Linked DNA regions of Rattus norvegicus. The protein of the gene in region 2 interacts with the protein of the main gene of each other region in a pairwise test. Links are inferred from orthologs where the notes say so. Each region holds a gene or a part of one and is shown on either strand. Other genes may lie near its edges.

Region 1 (5,193 bases), on a different chromosome or scaffold from region 2:
GGGTGTGGGGGGCTTCCCTCTCCATGCTTCTCTCCCCGACAACCTCTGACCTCTGACTCCCATCCTCCAGACCTTCCTACTCGCCCTGATCTTATCCCTAATGCTGTCTTTCTCCAAGCACTCTCCGTTTCCAGGATTCTGCGCCTACTCACCCTCTGTTAATGTCTTTAAGAGACCAGGACTCTTAAAGGGCCTGGTGTGAGACAGAGAGCTCAGGCTGAGCCCAGAGACTAGGTTCTAGAAAGAGCTGCAGCCTAAGGATAGAGACCCAGGAATGCTTAAGGGAAGTGCCCAGGCATGTGAGACAACTTGACCCCATAAGCCAACTTTCCTAGTTTTGCCTCTTAACCTTCCCAACCTACCTGGATGGCAGGCCTAACTCACATTGGGAGACCTTGTAGGAACAAGTTTTGGTGCCCCTCACTTCCAGCCTTCCAACTTTCTCTAACCTAGCTCTCCCCCAAAACCTCCTGGCCCCCCAGCATGGCAGGTGCTGACATGAGCCTAGGCCCCTCTGAGTCAACCCCTTGGGGCGGCCCCGCCTGCCTGCCCTGACTCATATGTTGGGAACGGGCCTCCCACCCCAGGCCTGGGGGGCAGAAGCTGAGGAGAGGTGCCAGAGAGGGCCAAGCAGCCCTTCGGAAGCCTCTGTACAGGTAGAGGCTGGGGTGAGTTTCAGGGTTTACAGATCAGGGGGTGGACATATGTCTACCTCACTGGGTTCTTTTATGGAGTTGTCAGGCCCAGGTTTAGGGCCATCATGGAGCTGCTTTGAACCCTAAAACTCCAGCCCTTAAGTTCTCTATCCTTTACCTGGACTCTATAAACCGAAAACTGTCTCTGGGTGCCAACCTTGCTGGGACCTCACCAAGCCCGGGTCCAGCTGTCTTGGAGGCTGCTTGATCTTTGATGCTCTAGAGCTCCCAACCCCCAGGCTGGGACACTCCTTCTCGTATGGCTTGTAGTGACAGGCCCCCACAGGCTTCCTGCCCTACTCTCATACTAAGAACGCTGGCCCCCACGGGGCTTGGTCTGGGCTTGGAAGACTGAGAGCAAGTAGAACCCACGTCCCTGTGGCCCTGTCCTGGGATAGGAGAAAAGGGAAGGCCAGGCGACTCGAGGACACGCAGGGCCAGTTCTTCCGCCCAAATTCCACCTTAAGCAGGCAGAGGCCCCTCCCTCCCACCTGGCCCAGGTGTCCCCGCCCCCAGCCAAGCTCTGGGCTGGGCGGGCAGGCGTCTGTCTAAGAGAGCCAGCCAGGAAGAGACTGGAACCAGGCCTCGAGGGACAAGACCGGGGAGAGGCCCAGGACAGGTGGGCTGGCTAGTCGCCCCTGTCACTATGCAGGAAGGTAACTTCCTGCTGTCTGCCCTGCAGCCTGAGGCTGGTGTTTGCTCCCTGGCGCTGCCCTCGGACCTGCAGCTGGATCGCCGGGGTGCTGAAGGGCCGGAGGCTGATCGGCTTCGAGCTGCCAGAGTCCAGGAGCAAGTCCGAGCCCGCCTCCTGCAGCTGGGCCAGCAGTCGCGGCACAATGGGTCTACTGAGCTTGATGGCTCCGCGGAGAGCACCAGAGGTAGGCCAACTTTGGGCATGGTAGGCAACAGAGGGAGATGAAATTGGTAATGGTGACAGTGGCCGGTGGAGGTGGCTAGGGCAGGAGTGATGGTGCTAGGGGCAGAAGCCTACAAGCTCGGGGGGTTCAGGCTTTGACTCACCTTACAGAGGCCTGCTCTGAGTCACTGCCCCGCCCCAGCAGGCATAGGGAGCCGCCTGGGTGGGGCATCCCTCCTTCCCCAGCCAGGACAGGGGTCCTGGGGCAGGGCCTATCCACTCCCTAAGTTGGAAAGACTTGGGAGGCACAAGGTAAGCAGCCAGGCCCACCTGTCACAACACCCCCCCCCAACACATTCCCTCCCAGAACCACAGAACACAGGCATACTTGAGGTCTCAGAGAGGCCAGAGTGCCTCCTAACCAAATGGGAGTGAGTATAACAGTAGCATGCGAGAGAGGGATGGTCCTGGATAGAGCCCAGGTCTGTCTGGAGCAGGGGCTCCCTGAGGAATTGCAGAACTGGGCCTACCAGGAGTGACCCAGATACATTTCATGAGAATAGCCCACAGGGTACTCCTCAGGGGCAGAGTGTGTGTGTGTGTGTGTGTGTGTGTGTGTGTGTGTGTGTGTGTGTGTGTGTGTGTGCGTGCGTGCGCGCGCACGCTCGCGTGGGTGGGTGGGTGTTGGAGGGTCACTCAGACATGCTAGGCTCAAGGCAGTCACTCCAGAAACATTTCCATACCTGCAAGGCTACGACAACAGGAATTAAGTTTAGACAGTACAATGAACCTCTGTTCGGAGGTCCAAACCTCAGCTCACAGTGGTCCCGTGATGTTGTCTGGCAGAAGGGGCAGGTCAGGAACTAAATTGCTGCCCAAAATCTTATTGGAGCCAAGTTGATGCCCAGGGGTCATGGGGTGGGGGAGGGCACAGGGAGGGGTTAATTACCACCTGGCTACCCCGCTAATTAGGGGGAGGAGGATAGTAATTTGGGGGTGGGCGTAAGGTCCCCAGGCTGGGGTGTGCCCCCTAGGCTGGCCCTCACTAGCGTCAAAGGGTTAACAGCCCCTGCCCAGAAGCCTCATTAACCTGGGTGGGTCTGGGGAGCATCATACTGTCCACCCCCTGAGCGGAATTGGAAGGTACAAAGGAAGGCCCCTTACTCATACTGACCTCTGTAGTAGCTACTCTGCTCAAGGAGCTCTTCCCAAAACCAGAGGAGCCCTGGCAAAGGCTGAGTCCACCCAAGGCCTGCCCACTGTCACCATCAACCCTTGGGATGATGTTTCCTGTGTGGCCTCGCCTCTGCCTCTCTACTCTGTACCATTCTCTCTGTTCATTCAGTCGCCCATTTCCTGTTGTTGTTGTTGTTTAAATATTTATTTATGTATGTGAGTACACTGTAGCTGTCCTCAGACACACCAGAAGAGGGCATCCAATCCCATCACAGATGGTTGTGAGCCACCATGTGGTTGCTGGGAATTAAACTCAGGACCTCTGGAAGGGCAGCCAGCCATCTCTCCAGGCCCCAGATGCCTGTTTTCTTTTCACCCATGTAATCCTCTTTCACCTTCTCTCCCACCAATCCATTCATCTACATATCATTCCAAACTTCTGACCAGCCCTCCCTCCCCAACCGCCCACCTTTCTGTCCACTGACCATAGAGCTGGGCTGTCACCCAGTCCTCAGCTAATGTGCAGCTGGATGGGGTAGGTGTGGTGCCTGCCTCGGGCTCTACCAGGTGGCTCTACCACTGCCGATCTGAGCAGACTGATCCAGAGAGACTGGATCCTTGACCTGTACAGTGTCACTCCCTTGTGAGTGTAGCACAGACTCAGTCTGGGCACAAGAGGCGCTCAGTGGAGGTCTCGGTGCGTTGAGGCAGGTTGGGCTGGCTCTGCTCTGGCAGGGACTGGGCAGCTGATGGAGACCCTAGCATATTCTCCAGGCAGTCCAGAGGTGAGCAGGGCGAGTTGTCTGAACGCCTCTGAGCAGAGAAGGCAGTCTGGAGCTCTAGGGAAAGAGGACCTCTCAGAACAGACTGGATGAAGTCAAGCTGCAGCCATGGCAGAACCATGGAAAAGGGATTAACTCCAAAACTGACTTGGTCTCCCTGCCCTGCGTCTGATGTCACACCCAGGACTGTGATCAGAGACCTCTGGCAGAAAGAAGAAAAAAAGCCAACACTTTCCTATCGGTCACGGTGTCATGGCTGTCACTGTCTCTGTCCACAGGACTGCCCAGGGGTCAATACCACACTATGCAGAGTGGCTTCAGCTCCCGATCCCAGGGTATGAGTGGAGACAAGACCTCGGTGAGTGAGCTCTGCAGCCTGCACTGAGGGGGAGGCTCTACAGGGGAGGCTGGGAGCTCCAGATCAGAAGGGGAGGGTGCCAAGTAAACCCCAGATACCCCTTCACTGTGCCATACCCTCCCACAGACCTTCCGGCCCATCGCCAAGCCGGCCTACAACCCAGCCTCCTGGTCCTCCCGCTCAGCCGTGGATCTGACCTGCAGTCGGAGGCTGAGTTCTGCCCATAATGGGGGCAGTGCCTTTGGGGCTGTGGGATATGGGGGTGCCCAGCCCACTCCACCTATGCCCACCCGGCCAGTGTCCTTCCATGAGCGAGGTGGGGCAGCCAGCAGAGCTGACTATGACACATTGTCCCTGCGCTCACTGAGGCTGGGGCCGGGGGGCCTGGACGACCGTTACAGCGTGGTGTCTGAGCAACTAGAGCCTGCAGCCGCCTCTACCTACAGAGCCTATGCTTACGAACGCCAGGCCAGCTCCAGCTCTAGCCGAGCGGGAGGCCTGGACTGGCCAGAGGCCACTGAGGGACCACCCAGCAGGACCATCCGTGCGCCTGCCATGCGGACCCTGCAACGATTTCAGAGCAGCCACCGAAGCCGTGGGGGTACCGGGTCAGTGTCAGGAGCTGGCCTGGAGCCAGTGGCCCGAGCCCCATCTGTACGTAGCCTCAGTCTTAGCCTGGGTGACTCAGGCCACCTGCCGGACGTACGTGGGTTGGACAGCTACACAGGCCACCGAACCCTGCAGAGGCTCAGCAGTGGGTGAGGAGCTGGGCTTGGAGCAGGGAGGGGACTGTATCATACAGTCTGGCCCAAACTTAGTCTGCCTGGCCACTGACTAACCCCTGATTCTACAGCTTTGATGACATTGACCTGCCTTCAGCAGTCAAGTACCTCATGGCCTCAGACCCCAACCTGCAGGTGCTGGGGGCGGCTTACATCCAGCACAGATGCTACAGTGATGCAGCAGCCAAGAAGCAGGTGACAAATCCCAAATCCTGCTGTCTCTTGATGACTGTCCCACTGGCCCCAATGCCCCCGACGACTATCCTCACCAGCTCCTTAGCCCTGCTTGCTAATCACTAGGCTGGCTGGGCAAACCTCACCTTTTCATATCATCAGCAAAGAAAGGGCAGAAATGCCCTATTTGTATACACTCGCATCACCAATGTGTGTGTGTGTGTATACATATATACATACATATATATACACATACATATATACATACTATATATATGCATACATACATACTATATATACATATATATGCATATATACACATTACCTACATACGTATGCACTTAGTTCCATGCTTGTGAACATGTCTGCA
Region 2 (6,275 bases):
GCATATGTGTGCATATGTGTGAGTGTGTGAGTGTGAGTGTGTGTGAGTGTGTGTGTGAGTGAGTGTGTGTGAGTGAGTGTGTGTGTGAATGAGTGAGTGTGTTTGTCTGTGTGTGTGAGTGTGAGTGTGTGTGAGTGTGTGAGTGAGTGTGTGTGTGTGAGTGTGTGAGTGTGTGTGTGAGTGAGTGAGTGTGTGTGTGAGTGTGTGTGTGTGTGTATGTGTGTGGGTGTGTTTACACATTGGTGCGGAGGTGTGTCTGCATGGAAACCTGAGGTTGACATCAGGTATCTTTCTCAATGGCTGTCTATCCAATTCACTGGGGCAGGACCTCCCAATTGAACCCAGAGTTCACCTTTATGTCTAGCCTAGCTAGCCAGCCTGCCCAGGGACCCCCAACATGCACCTTCCCAGCAGTGGAGCCACAGGCGGGCCTCCATGCTCAGACATTTACTTGGGATCCAAATGGTGTTCCTTATACTTGCTAAGCAAGCACGTTATGCATGGAGAGTGTTGTTGTTGTTGTTGTTGTTATTGTTTTGTTTCGAGAAAGGGTTTCTCTGTGGCTCTGGCTGCCTAGGACTCGATCTGCAGACTAGGCTGTCGTCGAACTTACAGAAATCCACCTTTCTCTGCCTTCCAAGTGCTTGGGATTAAAGGCATGTGCCAAGTTTGTACTTTCAGAGTGAATCAGGCAAAAGGATGTTCATCCCTCCAAACAGAGTGTTTAGTTGTAAAACGAGGACTCTGGAGGTTGCATGAGAAATTTGTTAGTTACAACATTGTGTGCTCAAGAGACACATAATTATACTATCATACCAGTAACTGTCTGCCCTATAATTAACCTGTAGCTTCTCCTAGATATGGGCTAATTACTAATAATTGAGCATGGGAGTTAGAAAATGTACGTTAAGCAGACTACAAATCAAATTCATACAGGCCAGACAAACTGGGATATTTCCTAGTAAGTTTTCCTAAGGAAAATGGAGATGTTCTGTTGCAGTTCCTACTGAAGTATGAGAATAAATATCATTCAGTGTACTAGTGAGGATATTTAGAATCTAATGACACCCTCAACTGGCAAAGGGAGGGATTGCATTTAAAAGAATGAGTGACTTTAAAAAAAAAACTAAGTGAATCAAAGAATTGAAAAGTAGAAAGTATTGAAAAATAATATAAAAATTTGTAAATGTGAAGAATTAAGCTAACGCATTAATTAAATATATTCCCAAGAGAAGCTGGTATAAAAATAACCATAATTAGAATTTCCAAGTGTTCTGTTCTACTTTGTAACCAGGAAAGTCGATGGTAGGGAAAGCATACAGTAGGAAGAAATGCATGAATGCCTTGCTTCTATCTCTAGTAACAATTTCTATTACTTAAATTACTTGATTGATATTTAATTAACATTTGAAAATTATTTGTTTTATGCATATGGTGTTTTTTTTCCACATGTATGTCTGAGCACCATGTGCGCTCTAGAGCCCATGGAAGCCACAAGAGGACATTTGATCTCCTGAGACTAGAGTTACAGATGGTTGTGAGCTGCTGTTCGAATGCTGGGCACTGAACGTAGGGCTTGTGGAAGAGGAGCCAGTGCTCTTAACCAGTGAGCCACTTCTCTAGCTCTATCAAATTACTTTATTTAATTTAGTACAGGTCTCAATTTATTGCCTTGGCTGTCCTGAAACTCACTATGTAGACCAAGGTGGCCTTCAACTCACCGAGGTTCTCCCGCCTCAGCCTCCCCAGTGCTGGGATTAAAGGCCCGTGCCACCGCACGTGGCTTAAGTTAACTATCAGCTATTTTTACATTGCTGTTGTAAGATCTCTTTCTCTTGGTTCCTTGATTTAATTTCCGTAAAGAGGGATTGGAATATTCTTAGTAATTCATAGGCTTCATAGTTTCAGGAACTACAAAGCTTGCCTGCTGTGAATTCTTTATCTCTACTTGTATATGCTCCATTTTGGCTTTTGGGTGACTTGGGTGTACAGTGTGCCTGAAAGTTGTGTTCAGGCTGATCACGGATGACTTCACACTGCACCTTTGAAGACTAAAGTCTGATGTTTGATTTTTGTCTTTGCTGGCTTGTTGCTTTAAGAGCACCCATCCCCCTTCTCGCTTGAGCCACTGTGCCCTGTCAGTCATCCTGAAATACACTAGGGTGCTTGTCAGGCGGTTTGCTCACAGAGTCGTCATAAGCCAAATTGTGAGCCACAACCGTGGCACCGGCTTAATAAACACAAGGAGCTGCTTAGGCAGTGGCTCAGTGTCTCTGTGGGCCAAACTGTGTCCCGCCACAGGTGAGTCAAGTGTCAACTTTTTAAAATTAGACTTTTGCCATAAGGCAAACCCCATTATGGGCAGATTATTTGCCTGGTTAGATGACTTTGGGGGAACGAAGAGACATGATTTCTCTAAAATGGGATGACTAGGAACTAGGTTGTGCACTTAGGACTTTTATAAGGAAGTCTCCTTTTAGTTATCCTGAGGTTGAGACTTTGTGAAAGCTCAGATTTTAAAAATCTACCATTCAGAATGGATCTGCAGGCATTTCAGACTTAGATACAAATGCAATGTTCAAACAGTTTTTTTTCCTTGTGTAACAGCCCAGGCTGACTTAGTTGAGCAGAAGCTCAGTTCTGCTATTTGGAGTGTTTGATAGTGACATTAAAGACAGCGTGAAAACAGTTCTTGTGAGCCGGTGCCCAAGCCTCAGTAGTCTTACACAGAGCATTTAAAAACTCCAGGGTAACAGGACCTTTATTATTTGAGTAACTGTACACGAGGCACCAGGGACTTCACATTCTTTTAATATAAAACTTGCGCAGTGAGCAGTTTATTTGTGCAAACAATTTGGTTTCTATTATCAGCCTCTGAACTTAAATCGTGTGTGTCACTTGTGCCACTTGTATGCAGCCTTAAGTATTTGTGAAGAGAGAACCAACAAAGCCAGAAGGAATTCGTGGACTTGGATAATTTGTGTGTTGACGTGGAGTTAAAATTTTAAGGCTTTATCTAGTGCAAGGGAAAATGACTGTCTTTGTGGATGTATAGAAAGATAGTTTATCTATTCCTCACCTGTTGTAGAGAGGACTTAAGGTGCTTACAAGGCTACACAAAATTCAGGGTAAGCTAAATTAAATGTGGCGTGAAAAAGAAAGGAAAAAAGTGTGAGAATAGAAAACAGTCAAGAACGAGACTGAACAGGGAAAAAGAGGCCGTTCCCAACCGTGGCTCGACAGAAGAGAAAGTATAGCTTTGTATTTATCATGTGTGTGTGTGTGTGTGTGTGTGTGTGTGTGTGTGTGTGTGTTTATTACATACAGAAGTCTTAGAGAGGGATTTTGGGCAAACCTCCTTGCCCTGGGGGCAGTCTTGAGTGAGAAAATGCTGTTGGATTGTAAAGATGAAGTGGTCATTAAACATCATTTATGTTTCAGTGGAAATAAAAGTGGGGCAGACCTGCCCTTTTGAATCACCAGCTGATTTATGTGGCCTCATGTTTTCTAGGAGCAGGAAAAAAAGGCCTGTTTCTTAATTCAGAAACAGACTAGAGAGACTTGGTGTTTGGGGAAATACTGAGTTGTCTAAATAGAGTTAAGCATCTACATAGCAGAGCAGCTCTGACCAAATCACGGTTGAAAACAAGACGCATTTACATAGGGATTGTACACACATGTCTGTGGATACACACTCCTTGTGTTTTGTCTCATGCGTTGTTGTAATGTGGCTAGTTGCTTTTCTCCTCTTTTACTCTCTGTTTTTTTTGTGTTTGAGACAGGGTCTCACTCTCTAGACCTGGCCTTGAAATCAGAGATGCACCTGCCTCGTCTCCCAAGTGTTGAGATTAAAGACGCGCCTGCCCTGTCTCCTTGAGTGCTGAGATTAACAGTCATTTCGTTCTTTTTCTTTCTTTCTTTTCTTTTGTTTCCTATAGACAGGGTTTTTCTGTGCTGCCTGGCTCTTCCAGGAACTCATTCTGTAAACCAGGCTGCTCCCTAACTCACAGAGATCGGGTGCCTTTGCCTCCTGAGTGCTGGGATCAAGGGTGTGCGCCACCACCATCCGGCTGCCATTTCAGTCTTTTTTTTTTTTTTTTTTTCTGGAGCTGGGGACTGAACCCAGGGCCTTGCATTTGCTAGGCAAGCACTTTACCACTGAGCTAAATCCCCAACCCTGCCATTTCAGTCTTTTTTTTTTTTTTTTCTGGAGCTGGGGACTGAACCCAGGGCCTTGCATTTGCTAGGCAAGCACTTTACCACTGAGCTAAATCCCCAACCCTGCCATTTCAGTCTTTTTTTTTTTTTTCTGGAGCTGGGGACTGAACCCAGGGCCTTGCATTTGCTAGGCAAGCACTTTACCACTGAGCTAAATCCCCAACCCTGCCATTTCAGTCTTAAACTGCAGTAATAGAGACTAGTTCTGGTCTTTATTGACCCAGCCAAGAACCAATTAGGGAATTGACACCTCCCTCCCATCTGTGTGTTCCAGAACAACCTCTGGGGCTTTACCTGGGGCTAAAACCACCAAACCCGTCACTATTTCAATGTACATTTAATTTGAATTTCAAATCCATTTAGGTCCAAACTAACTGGATAAGTGTCCCTGGGAACAAAGGTTTTGGGTAAGAGGGAGGAATTTAAAGATAAACTTGCTGGTGTTTTTTGATCTTCGAATAGCCACAAAACCTCTGCTGTCTTGAGGATTCTGGGCTCAGGGTGTTCCTCCTACTATGCTAACCCTGACGTATGTAAATGAAAAAGAAATGATCATAGAGACTTCTGCTGCCGACACAGCATAGTACTGGAAAAAGATGAGACAGCAGCAGTTAAAATTTTGCTAAAGGCTCCTCATGAGTTTATTCAGACATGAATGTGACGAACTGGGTCAATGGTCAGAGTCTTCTTTTTCTTACTCTGTTATTAAAAATAACTTCAAGAAGAATTAAACAAATAGTATAACGTGCTCAGAAATTGTTTCTATAGTTTTGACAATAAACACATATATAGGCCAACTTTGAATTACTGGAAAGAAAAGTACACATCAAATCGATACCACGGTACTGAGTTACAAGTAGCATTGAATGGATTCATCAGGTATGTGGGACGACTGGTAAACTGGACTCATAGGTTTGGATCCTGGGAAGTAAACATTATAAATAAGTCAGTGGTTAAGAGCACTTGCTCTTCTTTCAAAGGATCTGTGTTTGATTCCTAGAACCCACGGGCTGACTCACAACCATTGTAACCCCAGTTATAGAGATCCAGCGTTGTCTTCTGGCCTCTGTGGCCACTGGACGCACACAGTGCACCTACGTGCAGGTTAAAATGCAGCTGGAGCCAGGCGTGACTATACATACCTGTATGCCTAACAGGTTCCAGTCTGAAGCAGGAAGTTGAGGCCACACAGGGCTAATCAATGAGACTCTGTCTGAAAAAGAGAATTCAAGTTGGGCTTGGGTGCTGAAGTACTTGAGTGGTCCGTCCGAGTGGAGCTGATGTGCTGACACAGCCGAATGACTTCTGAATGAGTTCTTCAAAGAACCCTATCAGACCAACCCAATGTTTCCTTTCCCTCCTCTCCTTTCTCTTTCCAATGCTTGGAATCAAACTTAGGACTTCATTCGTGCCTCAGAGGCCCTTTTCAATGTCTCAAGCCAGACTTTTATGTTTAATTGAAATTCATTGAAAAAATATTATATATAAATATATATACACATTTACATATATAGTATACATAAATATATAACACACACATATACATATTATTAACTTGTGGGCTGGAGGAGATGGGTCAACCATCAAGAATGTATACTACTTTTGTGCAGGATTGGGGTTCTGTTTCCTACACTCATGTCAGGCCACCTGTAATTCCAGATCTAGGGAATCTGATGCCTTCTTTGGCCTCTGACACACACACACACACACACACACACACACACACACACACACACACACACTTTAAAGAAAATCAGCCCTAAAAGCTTGCAACTTGTTAAGTCTGACACAGAAACTAGGCATATAACCACCAGCATACTGCAATTAAATGCAATGCTCTCTTCCGAGGTCGATTTCTTTAATCAACTCTGGCTTCTCACAAGTGCTCATTGCTCTGTCCCTATCTTGTCCTTTCTACGGTGTCCTGAATGGAATCAGTGGGTATGTATGTCACATACTCAGCGTGACATTTACGCCTTCCATTCACCTTGTGGCCTGAATCAACGCTTCACTGCTTTTTCTTGCATTAATACCGTGGTTTAATCATATCATCAATG
Region 3 (5,245 bases), on a different chromosome or scaffold from region 2:
ATCTGACTCATGTGTCTCCCCTGCCTCAGCCCCCGCCCATGCCCACTTAAACTTGGCAAAGCCCCAGACACTAGTTAGTGAAGCAGGTAGCTCCCACCTCCTATCCGGGGTCCAGCCTAGAAAGCTCTGAACCATGCTGTCCTTCCCTCTGGTCTCCCCTAACTTAGACCCTCTCAGCTCTTGGTCTGGAGGAGCTGCCTTACCACCTACCACAGCGACCAAGGCGAGCGGGCAGCCGGTGAGGCTTCAGAGTACTGGCAGCCAGGGGATGAGTCACTCCCACCTGACAAACCTGTCCCGCCTTCACCACCCCCACACGTCTAGCAGGGCTCTCCTAAATTCCCTTCTATCCTTGGAGCTGAGGCCCTCCAAAAGGGGCAGTAAAAAAACTTCCATTTAGGGATAAGAGGTAGCTTCCTTGGTAGAGCGGTCGCCTAGCTTATAGGAAGCCCTGGGTCCGACCCCCCAGCACGGTATAAGCCAGCTACAGTGCCGCATGCCTGTGATTCCAGCACTTGAGAGGTAGAGGCAGGAGGATGGCAAGTTCAAAGTCTGAAGAGTTGACAGATGGCTGATTGGGCTAAAGGGTGGAAGGAAAAAAAAAACTCCTGAAGGTTGTTCTCTGATCTCCACAGAGGTCTTGTGCATGCTCAGACACACAGGCACACACAACATACATACATACATACATACATACATACATACATACATACATACATAAAGATGATGATGATGATGAATGTTTTATAAAGTTTGCCTGGGCATGGTGGCACGCACCTGTTATCCCGGGGAGCAGTTTGAAACCCTCCCCTCTCCAGTCTATACAGCAAGTTCTAGGCCAGTCAGGGCTGCACTTTGAGACCCTGTCATCAAAAAGAAAGGAAGTAGTTCAAGGTCAACCTCAGAGGCTAGCCTAGGCTACAAGAGACTGTCAAGAAAGGACGGGGGGGGGGGGGGGCGGGTTGGGGATTTAGCTCAGTGGTAGAGCACTTGCCTAGCAAGCGCAAGGCCCTGGGTTCGGTCCCCAGCTCCGAAAAAAAAAAAATTAAAGGACAGTGGGGGGATACAACTTCCATCCAGGGCCGATGATGGATCCCATGGGAAAGTGCTTGCCTACGTGCAAATCCACAAGGCCCTGGATTTGGTCCTTAGCAGCCAAAAGAAAAAGGGGAAAGAAAAAAGAAATCCTTCCAGAGTTGTAGTAGAGCCTAACAGCAGAATGAGGTCTGAGCTTAGCCCTCTCTTGAGTCTAGCAACACTGGGCAAGTTGCTATCCTTCCCTGAGTTTCTGAAGAAGACATTAAAGTGCGCCTGCCTCGGGCTGGAGAGATGGCTCAGTGGTTAAGAGCATTGCCTGCTCTTCCAGAGGTCCTGAGTTCAATTCCCAGCAACCACATGGTGGCTCACAACCATCTGTAATGAGATCTGATACCCTCTTCTGGTATGTCTGAAGACAGCTACAGTGTGTTCATATACATAAAATAAATAAATAAATCTTTAAAAAAAAAAAAAAGTGCGCCTGCCTCTGTGAGCATGGTTAGTGGCGCTTGGTACCAGACAGTCTTCTGGCTTTGAGTTACCATCAGTCAAGTACTTTCTGGGTAGCTAGGTTTATTAATTCCTGAGGTCGCTGAGCCAGGAAGGTGCTTTGACGCAGGCTGCACAGGTAAGGAGACACTGCTCAGGGATTCAAACTATCTCAGTCCAAGTCCCTGTTCTCAGAGCTGACCCCTTAGACTGTCTCCCTAGATCACTGTCCTTCTGTGGACCAGCCAAATGTGTCACCTTGTCCTAAAGCAGCTCTGCAGGACGACAGGCCTCCCTCTCATAGGCAATGACCTGTGGGCCCCCAGGAAGGAAAACAGTCAAGCAGGCCCCGCCTGACCTTCCGTTCCCACAGGCTGCATTCTCCAAGCTCAACCTTAGCAGGCCAGACGGCGGCTCCAGAGGGAATGGGGTGGAGCTCGGGTGCGGGGGAGGCTTCTGTCACCCAAGCCCAGACTTGATCTGGTGAGAAATGACTAATCGGATCCTACCTTTGCTTCCCCTCCCTCCTGTCCGTCAGAAGCCAGCTTGGGCCGGGCAGCTCATAGCCCTACTTCTTCCTCAGTACTGTCTTTTCACCAGAGCCACGAACCAGATTTGCTAAACTATTCATTTAGTTCACCTAATGACAATGCCTACCCCTCCTCCTCCTTGACACGGAGAGGACATGAGCCTAAAACTAATGCCCCCAGTTCTTCCTAGAGGTGGTCACACATATTTTACCAACCACAGGACCTAAGGCGAGATTACGGGGGATATGTCTCCCACCCCCACTCTTCTATTCACAACCAAGCACCACCTCAGCTTCCAGGAGAATCAGAGCAAACAGTGCTCACGACCCCCACCCCATCTTCCCTCTGCCCCCCCCCCCCGCTAGCGTTGTCATTCCTGCTCTGTCCCCCCAAGAAGACTGGACTCCAAATGCCTATGAAAAGGCCAATCTTCAGATTTGTACAGAAGAGTGCAGCAAGCCGAGTAGAAGTTGACAATTCCAGCTGGAGAGGAGCTCTCAGCACAGGGAACCAAGGGGAGGGCTCACACTGTTCACCCTGAGGGTGCCTGGCATGGCAGAAGCCTTCCATAGCAAAGACTTCCTCCTGTCCCACTTTCCCCGCCAAACACTCAGTTAAAGAGTGGGTGGAGGAGGGACTTCTGGCAAGTCCTCTAGAAAGGACGCACCTTCATAATTCAAACCCAGTGAACAGCAAGCAACATTCCTGCCCTATGCTACCCTGCCTCAATGGTCAGCCAGCTAAATAAGCTGGGGGATGGAACGGGGGAGTTGGGGAAAGATTAATCACTCTTCCCAATCTTCCTAGTTTGGCCCAGCCCTGCCCCAACCCCATTCCTGGGGAAGGGGCAGAGCTTGGGAGGAGAGGCACTTAGCAGGCCTCATATAAGGGGGTGTGGTGGTCCCGTGAGGATGCGAAAAGGGAAGGAAGAAGACACTTCCCTTTTCAGCAACGCCCCCACCCACCCCCATTGGTCCCTACCTCGGGCCTTAGGGGCCTAGCAAACAGGATGGAGGTGGGGGCAGGGAGAACCGGGTCAAAGCGCACAGGCTGTGTTCAGCTTGGAGCTGACCAGGGAAGAGGCTTTCCTCTAAGAAGTACCACCAAGCCTTGAATCAGCTCTCAACAAGGAGACGGGGAAAATCCTAGAAAAGGCCCCCACGGTTACTTTCTCCTGGAAAGTTTGTTTGGAGTGATTTCTCAACAATAATGGGTTGCAGAAATCAAAAGATATCGCTGTTTCCCTACCAACACTCTGGAAACCACAAGCTACTAAAATCTGGGCGAGTGTTTCTTAATTTTCTCTACCGGCCCAGACTCCAGGCCATGCCACCAGGTCAGACAGACATCGGTAGGGCACTGAGCCCAGACCCTTCACCAGTTCCCCCGTCACCCCATCCACCTCCGTAAGAGAAGCCATAGACCGGCGTACACTAGAGCGGAGGGAGGCGCCACAGGTCCAGCTCGGAGCTACAGGGCAGGGCCTCGGTCCTCCAAGCGCTCACCTGCTCTGCTCAGCAGGTGGGAATCGCGTCTCTGGGAAAATGTGCACTCGGCCCCCACAGTTGGGTAAGCTGGGCGCAGACAATAGGGCCCCACCCAGGCCTGGGGGAGTAGGGAGGGAGGGAAAGCGAGGATGACGCGTGGGGTGGGGTGAGGGTGGCCCCAAAGAGACTAGGCAGCAAGTTTCCCGAGCGGTAAATTCCTGTCACCGTGGGATCTGGGACCAGGCGGAGCGGGTCAAAGTCTGCCCGGTCAGCTCCAGGGGAGAGTCAGCGACGCCGCGTCGGGCAAGCTCCGCGGGCCCTGGGGGAGGCGCGAACTCCGAGGCACCTGCCCTAGTTCCTCCCCGCCCTTCTCAGACCTGCGGTTCACCGAGCCTGGAGGGGCGCTCCAACCCAGATCGCTTGTCCCAGGGGTCCCGTGCCCCGGACCCCAGTGCGCCCCCTGTCGCTGGTGTAGGATGCACTCCCTGGCACCCGCCCTCACCTGCCCTGAAACCGCTGGAACCAACCTCTCGGCCGCTTGCCCTACTCTACCCTCAGTGATACGTACCCCTATCCGGTGTACCTGAGCGTGGAGCCGGGCCGAGCCGGGTCGGGGTCGGGTCTGGCCGGGAGACAGCCGGCGCAGGCAGCGAACTGAGCTCGGGGCGCTCGGGCGGCGGCTGCTCCGGACTCTGGCCAAGGCAGCAACTCAGTAACCGAACAAAAGGCAAAGGGACCTGACAGCCAAGCCACACCTCTCGCCCCCTTGAAGCTCCGCCCCCTAGGGAGACTCCCACCCTCTGAGGTTATCTCACTGGCTGCCCAGCCTGACTATCCTATTGAGGGGCGGAGCCTCACGCCGGGACCTCTACCACGGCCGCCTCTGTTTATGCGCTCACCATTGGCCCCAGGGACTGCCAGTCGACTCTGGGGTGGACGCCAACTTGAGGTCTCATCCTCACTCTGCATCTATTGGCAAATAGAAAGTTTCTTCCTTATGATTGGACAGAGGGCTGTCAGTAAGACTAAGGCAAAAGCCAATGGAACAGGTGGGGCGTTACTTGCCCCACCCTAGCCCTGAGCAGGTAAGACTCATTATTCTCCCCTTCCCCCTACCTGTCCAACAGGTGAGTCAGGGGGAAGCATGGGAAAGGACTGACGCCTTCACTAGCCAGCCAACTCAGCGTCAGGATTATTCATTCTTGCCTCAACATAGTAATAAGATGTTTGTAAAGCATTTCATAGGCTTTGTGCTAGGTTGGGATTTCTCCCCCTACAAAAGATGGAGTGTTCCCGGTTCTCTTCTGTTTAGAATTAGAAGGCCTGGTTTGGGTTCTCCCCTTAATCTTTGTATGACCTTAGGCCAGCTAGTATACTTTTCACCCTGTATCTAAGTGGGTTCATTAGCTTTATCTATCTTGGGTTGGAGAGATTAAATAAACTTTGTAGCTTAAACAGCTGAGGAATGTCAGTATTTAAGCCAGTGAGATGGTCCGTTCGAGACAGTTCTTAAAAAGTGCTGGAGCAGGCAGCCAGGCAGTGGTGACACGGGCCTTTAACCTTAACCTCGGCACTCAAGGAGGCAGAGGCAGGCAGCTCTCTGAGTTAGAGGCCACCCTGGTCTACAAAGAGGGTTCAAAATGATCCGCATTAAGAGAATCTTTAATGGGCTTGTGTGATGTCTCAGTTGGGCAAGTGTGA

Evidence for each region. The genes of interacting proteins can lie anywhere in the genome.
Region 1: the proteins of Ctnna3 (region 2) and Pkp3 interact in a two-hybrid assay, tested with the Homo sapiens proteins (2 studies listed by IntAct). The link is inferred for Rattus norvegicus from reciprocal best matches to the Homo sapiens genes CTNNA3 and PKP3.
Region 3: the proteins of Ctnna3 (region 2) and Jup interact in binary tests that used the Homo sapiens proteins (3 or more experiments, as listed by UniProt). The link is inferred for Rattus norvegicus from reciprocal best matches to the Homo sapiens genes CTNNA3 and JUP.

Annotation. Positions count from the first base shown.
Region 1 is NC_086019.1:205,617,717-205,622,909, forward strand, and holds the start of Pkp3 (plakophilin-3), read left to right. Parts: upstream 1-1,245; 5' UTR 1,246-1,341; coding exon 1,342-1,573; intron 1,574-3,787; coding exon 3,788-3,867; intron 3,868-3,993; coding exon 3,994-4,625; intron 4,626-4,720; coding exon 4,721-4,844; intron 4,845-5,193. UniProt on the Homo sapiens protein: A component of desmosome cell-cell junctions which are required for positive regulation of cellular adhesion. Required for the localization of DSG2, DSP and PKP2 to mature desmosome junctions.
Region 2 is NC_086038.1:25,133,923-25,140,197, reverse strand, and holds the start of Ctnna3 (catenin alpha-3), read left to right. Parts: upstream 1-2,199; 5' UTR 2,200-2,301; intron 2,302-6,275. UniProt on the Homo sapiens protein: May be involved in formation of stretch-resistant cell-cell adhesion complexes.
Region 3 is NC_086028.1:85,823,482-85,828,726, forward strand, and holds the start of Jup (junction plakoglobin), read right to left. Parts: upstream 3,949-5,245; 5' UTR 3,563-3,948; exon of another isoform or gene 3,490-3,562; intron 859-3,489; exon of another isoform or gene 778-858; intron 1-777. UniProt on the Homo sapiens protein: Common junctional plaque protein. The membrane-associated plaques are architectural elements in an important strategic position to influence the arrangement and function of both the cytoskeleton and the cells within the tissue.